2 linked regions of the Nothobranchius furzeri genome follow. The protein of the gene in region 1 purifies or fractionates together with the protein of each later gene. This does not show direct contact. Links are inferred from orthologs where the notes say so. Each region holds a gene or a part of one and is shown on either strand. Other genes may lie near its edges.

The links. The genes of interacting proteins can lie anywhere in the genome.
Region 2: the proteins of aar2 (region 1) and ttc27 purify together in Homo sapiens (affinity purification with mass spectrometry; 3 studies listed by BioGRID and IntAct, with this or other methods). This does not show direct contact. The link is inferred for Nothobranchius furzeri from reciprocal best matches to the Homo sapiens genes AAR2 and TTC27.

What each region holds. Positions count from the first base shown.
Region 1 is NC_091755.1:59,903,634-59,907,790, reverse strand, and holds aar2 (protein AAR2 homolog), read right to left. Parts: upstream 2,636-4,157; 5' UTR 2,439-2,635; coding exon 1,673-2,438; intron 1,583-1,672; coding exon 1,353-1,582; intron 923-1,352; coding exon 755-922; 3' UTR 534-754; downstream 1-533. UniProt on the Homo sapiens protein: Component of the U5 snRNP complex that is required for spliceosome assembly and for pre-mRNA splicing.
Region 2 is NC_091752.1:9,800,070-9,803,723, reverse strand, and holds part of ttc27 (tetratricopeptide repeat protein 27), read right to left. Parts: intron 3,389-3,654; coding exon 3,290-3,388; intron 2,463-3,289; coding exon 2,410-2,462; intron 1,448-2,409; coding exon 1,282-1,447; intron 1-1,281.

The sequences.
Region 1 (4,157 bases):
GTGGTTTTTGAAAACCGACTAAACTAAAAGGAGCTCATAGTGAAAACCAGTCCTCCAGTTCCCCCTAGTGGACATGTTAAACATTCATGATAATTAAAAGAGGCTGACATTCATCCATCCATTTGCAGCCGCTTATCCAGAGTCAGGTCACGGGTCAGGTCAGCCTAAGCCGAGGCCCAGACTTCCTTCTCCCCAGCCACTTGGGCCAGCTACTCTAAGGGAACCCTAAGGCAGTGCCTGGCCAGCTGACGCAGTCCCTCCAGCGTGTCCTGGGTCTTCTCCAGGTTGGATGTGTCTGGAAAGCCCCTCACTAGGGAGACGTTCAGGGGCAACCTGACCACATGGTTGCTTTATATAAATATGTTCCCACTTTCCTGTTGGACAATAGTGCTTTATTTTGAAACAAATGTTACGCATATGATGTCTTGCATGTTTAGATTTGTTCATAGATTCATGAACTACTGTTCAAAACTTTCCAATAATGTGGTAGAATGTAAATGTTCTTTTGAAACAACTATACAAATAAAACAAAATAAATTGTTACTGACTTTATTTAATATAAAAACCACCAGACCTCAGATCAAACCTCTCCTCTCTCTGACTACATCACTACAGATGATTCGTGAACATATTATCTTCTCCTTATGAAAAGACAAACAATAGAAGACATGTTGGAACCACACAGAACAACCGTGGCAGTGTGCTGCTGTAGAACCGGTATGAGGCCAAGAGGAGAAACTGCACGATGGGAGAATTAGTCCACTGTGACGCCTTCAGGCAGCTCCACCACTACAGGTGCACAGTCGTCCAAATCTGCATCGAAATCCCAACGAAACTTCTTGGTTAGGTGGGTTTTGAACTTCTCTGCCTTCTTTTGTAGGATCCCATCCACACCAGGTCCAGTGGCAAACTGGAAAAAATCCTGCAAGATAAAAAGTCGATTTAATAATCCCCAATGAAGAACACCAGTTTGAGATCAAATAGAAACAAAATATGGGACCCTAATTCTTGCTCTAGTAGATTTTCCATCTTGTAGCTGCTTAAAAATCATTTTGAAAGAAGAAAAAAAAATTGAAGACAGATTTTAAATGAAAATATTACTTAAAGACCTCGTTGAAAGGATTCATGTCCCCTGCTACCTTTTATAGTTTTAAATGAAGGCTGGAAATGCTGGAAAATGATGGATATCCGGTCTGAAATGTACAAGTTGTTTGTTACATTTATAAACAATTTAGGGTCACAAGAAATAAAAACATGATGTTTGTGCCTCTAGTGACAGCTCTTTTCTGATTCAGAAACATTTTGAATATTTCCCTAACATTGTGCGTGCAGCTGTTGCACATCTGCTGTACCTGCAGCGTGCTGGTGAGGAAGTTGTTCTGTGACACAATGTCAACAAAGAAGTCAGGAGGGACTTCTCCGAGCTGGTGGTAGAGCACAGTGATGAGTCCCAGATAGAGCTCCTTCCTCCTCCTCATGGCCTCCTCCGAGCGGCACAGCAGAGCCAGGAGGCTCTTCCAGTGCTCAAAGCCCTCGTACACATTCCCAATCAAGAAACACACAAAAGCAAACTGCAGCTCACCTGGAAGAGATTTGAGATTCAGATATTTAGTTGCATAGGCATTAGGCAGTTGCATTCTTGTAACAGTGCATTAATCTTTGTGACACAAACCAAGCAAGTTTAGAGGCTGGTTCTCGTATTTCTTCTCCAGAACCCCCTCCAGGGCATAGCTCAAGTCCATGCTGCATTTCGTGATCTCAGCTGGAGTAGCCCCAGGAGGGTAGGTCTTTTTGGGAATAACTGAAAAGCGCAGTTCAGTCCCTTCTCTGTGCTTCATTTTGGGAAGCCTGTCCAGTCCCTCTTTCATGCTCTGGCAGGCCGTGTCGTTCCTCGGCTGCTCTGCCCTGTCTTTTGTGTGTCTGAACTGAAGCTCGGGGACGACATCACTGAAGGCGCAGATTCGACCCGTCAGAGGCTGTAAGTCACTGGCCAGCTTCTCGCTGATGTGATCGGTGAGAGACACCCACTTCCTCATGACCTCATAGGGATAAGGGCCCAAGAAGGGATCCAGCTCCCGCAAAGTCCCCCGGATCCTGTTCACTTCCTCTTCATTCCTGGAGGCTGAGAAATCCAGATCTTCTTCTTTGGGATCCCAGTTGGCCAGGAGAATTTCTCTTGGTTTCAGGGTGAGGAAAAGACCCGTTTTAGGACCGATTTCTCCACCACAGCTTGGCGAGTTTACAGAGCAGTAATGGAGGAAGTGTAAACCAGGGGGGATCATCTTAACACCACGAAACCGAGGACCAACCTGCCAGCTTTTGCAGTCAATCCCAAGCTCGGTGCCCTGAGGAACACCCAGCAGAACCAAAGTAGCTCCTTCTTCAAATAACGACCAAGCAACATCTGGATCCATGTTCGAAGAGCTGCTGCTGGCCATCTTTGTTTACTACTAATCTACAAACTATATTTACTGAGAAACATGCGTAAATTCTCTCAGGTGCTACGTGAGCTGTTCATCATTCAAGTGTTTCCGTATTTGAACGCGAATGCTAATTTTAGGGTTTTAAAGTATCTTATTTAAGCAGCGAAGATTATCAATAAAGTAAAAAAAACTAATTACATTTCGAAAAACCCCATTTTACGGTCTACGCGTCCACTTATAAAAACAAACTGTACCTACAGTTACACTAGTGGACGTTCCAAACAACAACGCTGCTATTTCGTTTGCCGGAAATCTGTGTAACAAAATAAATGCTCAGGGTGGAAACAGTGTCTCATTAGAACAGTTCCGCTCTTTTGCACAACTTGGCCTCCAAGTTTTTCTTAATATATCTTTTTAGAAATTTAGGTTTGGGAAAATGAAGCAATAAAAAGATTTTAAAGCAGATTTTTTTCGCAGTGGCAGAATTGATGCTGTAATCGCTTTTGCTATGTAAAAAGCCCAACAATGAGCAAAACTCGCTAAAATAAATTTATAAGACTGTTTAAAAACTATTTATTTTATGTACTCAGGATTAACATTTTCCATTGCAGTACATTTATTTTACATTGCCCTTTAAATTAGTAAGATTATATTCTGGCAAAATTTCATTATAAAATGTTTTACTTATTATTATTGTCAATATTTATGTTGGACTGTTCTATGCAATACCCATTGGAAGGAGTGATTGTGAACAAGACTGATTTGGAAATGTCGAAAATATTTCAATTGGGTTTTTAGCTTAATAAAAAAGACAGCTAGAGGCTGCGAGTTCCTCTCTTGTTAACTCAGACATGTCATGTTTTGTAATAATTTACAGGAAGTGTTTGCGCTAATTAAATTTTTGTGATTGCTCTTTCTAGTCCTCCATCATCCCCAATAAGACAAAAATGGGATGTTTTTCATAATAATAATAATAATAATAATAATAATAATGATGATGATGATGATGATAATGATAATGCAAAAAAGTTTTTTTTAATTGAACTAGACTGTAGTTCATCTCTGTGCCACCAGAGGGCATTAATGTCCCATCTCCTCTTCTCTTTTAAAAGCACCAGTTCCTTTGAATTATTAAAAAAATAATTTGCAATGGCCTTTTGGAATTATCAAAGGTGGGACTCTCTAAATACTAACTAACATTAAGAAGAGAATAATATAAATTATTTTTGTTGTTTTCTTAATATTTTTATGAAGAAAATCTGACATTGAATTCACAGGATAACACACAGAGACACATTTACGTTTGACTCACAAACACATCACATGAGACTTTGAAATGTGCATAATGCTGAATATTTGCATTTAGCTTATTTGTGGTTACAATGAAACTATAACAACATAACAAGGAGCAATGCTAACAAATGCAGAAAGAGCAAGAACACTAATGAGAACTTAACATTCATGTTTATTATCAGCTATCTTTGCAAAAAGGGTCATATCACGGTGCTGTGAATATACTTAAACTGGTGTTTTTGTGAGAAGTTACCAGTCACACCAGACCCTACTTAGATTTGTAGCTGCTCTGAAGTTTTTGCCAACAAGTAATCAGTAATTTGATTATGTTGATGAATAATTTCCTCTTCCTCTTCTTTCCTTGTATTTTCCGAACAGTTGAGCAAGAAGTTGTCTCTGTCTTAAAGAATGCAAGAAGAAACATAAGGCTTGCATTGTCAG
Region 2 (3,654 bases), on another chromosome or scaffold:
ACACCTCAGGACACATTTCCTAGGATCTCACAACCAAAGGAGCTGGAGATGATTCACAGCTCATCATCAGGAGGTGTGGTCCATTCCATGGCCCATTTTCTGTGGCCAGAGTAAAATGACATCCATAAGTCTTATTTTTTTACAGCATCTCCGTCCATCACGGTGATAAAAGTCTCATCATTAGAGTAAAAAGTGGATGAACGACTCACGCTGGCAGAGCCGGAATCAAACCGATCACCTTCCAGATTTCAGTTCTTATTTTCTGCTCAAAAGATTCTGATGGGGAGAGAATAAAGAGGTGATTCAGAGCGCGGGCGTAGCGCCCGTTTAACCCCATGGGGCACCAGGCGGTGCCGTTTCCAGTCTATAAGACAGGAATTCATGGTGGTCCGTGCCGGCGTCGCCGCCTCAGCTCGGCTTAAAGAAATGAAAGAAAAACACGGGCAGGAGAAACGTGACTGATCATATGATGCAGGCCTAGAGTGGCTGGTTCTGCTTCTGCTGCAGAACTCCAGTCAGAGAAGGAGCTGCACAAACATTATTATGGGATGTTGAGGCTTCGGACAGGACCGGAGACGAGACTCAAACGTAGGCTCATAAATTGTGACTCAATCTGACTCGGTTTAAACATCAGACATCATCTACCCAGCTGATGCTTCCTGTTTTTGGAGACTCCGCCCACTTTGAATGACATCACCTGCATGTGTGATCCTTACTGTAGATGAAAAAAACATCCAAATGACAGAAATATCCTTGAATAAGCGACTTGATTTATTTTCTGGAGGGTTTTTCCATCTCACTCCTCTCATCAGACTGATCACAGATTAGCAGATTAACCAGATTAAAAACCAAGGATGAAAAATGCTTTTAAGTGTTTTTGTCGTCGGTCAGAACCAGCCGAGTTGGAGCTGAACTGGGTTCTCCGGTAAAAGAGAATTATTTCTGAGGAGAAACGGAGAATGGATTATCCCGACTGCACAAGCTCCGGCTGGTTCTCCTGGTTTAGGAGAACCATGCAGATGATCCTCCACTCACTCACAGCTGGTTCCTGTTCTGCTGCTGCGACCAGGAGGGAGTTTGTTCCCTCTGATGTTTTTAATGACTTTAGTTAATTTGATCACAATCAAAACGAGTCGGAAGAAACAGGAAGTCTGACCTGATCAGGACATAAATCACACTTTGACTCAAAACTTAGAGAAACGATGGAGAACATCATGAACTACTGACTTTTCCGGGCGGTCGTGAAGGCAACAGAAACGGAGAAGCTGGTCGCTGCTTTACCTGGATGTCTTTGTAGTTTTCCCTCAGGTCCATAAGGCGGTGGTACGCCCGGATTGCTTCTGAGAAGTCCCCGATGTCAGTGCTGACAACAAGGAAGTTCTCCCAGATCTGCCAGTGCTCGTAGTTACACTTCAGGGCCTCCTGCAGCGTGTGGAAGGCTTTGGTTCTGTCAGAGGAAACCAGGCAGATTCACTGAAACAGGACGCCAGAAGACTTAACATTTTGGTCCTGATCCAGATCACATGACCACAGTTCAGAGTCGAATGAAACCAGACCTTTTGTTCTGCTCAGCTTCTTCTTTACCACTGCAGTCCAGAGAGACACTCTTATCACTGACAAAGACCTGACCTGTTGGGCCACCTCTCCATCATTCCATCACCAAAGAACAAGACCTAGAGGGGGTAATGACCCACCAGAACCCTCTTGTCCATGACCCTGTCCTGCCCAGAAACGCCCGATGGGAACGAGCTCATCTTATTGCTGAGATACGGACTCTCAGTTCTTCAGGGGCCAGAGACGTCCCTCTCCGGTGGACTGGAGAACCCATGAAGGTCTGGTCCACTGTTCCATCTTTTATGCATTCATCATGTTAGACAGCAGCAACACACTACACTCAGACTAGCCGTTAGCACATCACTCCTGAGGGGTGTAAACTATTTCTGTCAACAGAGGCTGTCCAGGAAGCTAACCAGGGTAAGAAGGGAACCATTTCTGTTTTTACACAAACTTTATTCTCTAGAAATCCTGCAGGTGTTCAAACATCTAAAAACCAACAGAAAATGGGCAGAATCTGGTTTAAACCGGATCTCCAATGATCAGCTCAGGGATGAAGCACCTTGCAGGTCTCTGCTGGATTTGTTCCGGTTCCTTAATGACGTTCAGAACTAGCGGAGCGGCTTTAGGTTTTATTCTGTCATTCCCAGGTTTTCCGGTTTCCTCTACCGTTCCACAGACACACTGCAGCAGGTCACATGCTAGTGGCCTGTTGGGAATTGCCCCCAGGCTGAGCCTGCCTCATTAGCAGCTGGGTTTACTCCAACACGTTAAAAGATTTGTCCAATAACAAACACACACACACACACACACACACACACACACACACACACACACACACACACACACACTTACTTCATTTTGAGGCGAATGTAAGCCGTCGACAGGTTGTTCCACGCCTCTGCATTCTGAAGGACAGGAGGAGGACCAGGATGGGCCAGAAAAGTTCAAGGAAATGAGTTTGGCACATTAAAGAGCAAGTCACCCCCAAATCAACTTTATTTTTCTGATAAACTATACAAATGTGTGTCTAATCGTGCTGCAGACACGTGTAGTCAATAGTTTTGCACTTAAGTGCATTTTAGTTAAAATTTAAATCTTCTGCCTAAAACTGTCAGTGTTGTGCCGTTGTCAGGTAAAAACTCTGCACTGCATTTGAATTTAAATCTGCCATCGCTATTGGCTAAGAGGTATCCTAGAACGTTAGCTGGTACCGTATGATGTCACAATGTCGTTGTGAGCCTGTGTGTGTATTTGTTAGCAGCTCCGCCGTCTCGGTCTGCTAGGCAACAGCATTTGTTGCATTTTTCAAACAGGAAGTGGGAGTGGAGTAAGAATCTGGTAGGGGGTGCTGGGTTTCTCCCAGTGCTTTATAAGCCCGCCAGGCTAAGCGTCATTTCCCACCCTCCTCCCCGTCATGTCCCGCCCCGTCCCCCTCCCCGACCGTGTCCGCTGACACGAACGGCACAGCGACACTAGAGCCCTCCATCAGCTGTTACTGGTGAGAAACATCAGCGGAACGTGTGCACCCCCCCACCCCCAACGGCCGAAGCCGCTAGGCTTAACTCATTTTCTGGGGGAAACTCTGGGGTGACTTGCTCTTTAACAATAAGACAGAAGCTTTAGGTTTATAAAAGACTAAAAACGATGATTTCAAGTGTGTGTGTGTGTGTGTGTGTGTGTGTGTGTGTGTGTGTGTGTGTGTGTGTGTGTGTGTGTGTGTGTGTGTTCTTACGTCTGGCTCGAGTCCCACACACCTCTGGAAAGCTCTCGCCGCTCCCTCATAGCCTTCCAGAGTGATGTAGGCACATCCGAGGGAGAACCAGACACCCAGCTGCAGACAGAGGGACAGATGAGAGTCTACCCAAACACAGATTTCCTCCAGAGCTCTAAAAGCTGCTGGCTGGATTTAAAAAAACGTTTTTACTGAAGAACAAAGACAAATTTATTCAGCTTCAGTAACACCAGAGGTGGAGAACCTCCAGTTCAGCAGTTTTCTACGTGTCTCCTGGAAACCTTCATGTTGCATGTCATCACATAACCCTGTCCCTTGGTCTGACTGGTCGTTAATGGGTTTCAGGTGGAAGACCACAGCATGTG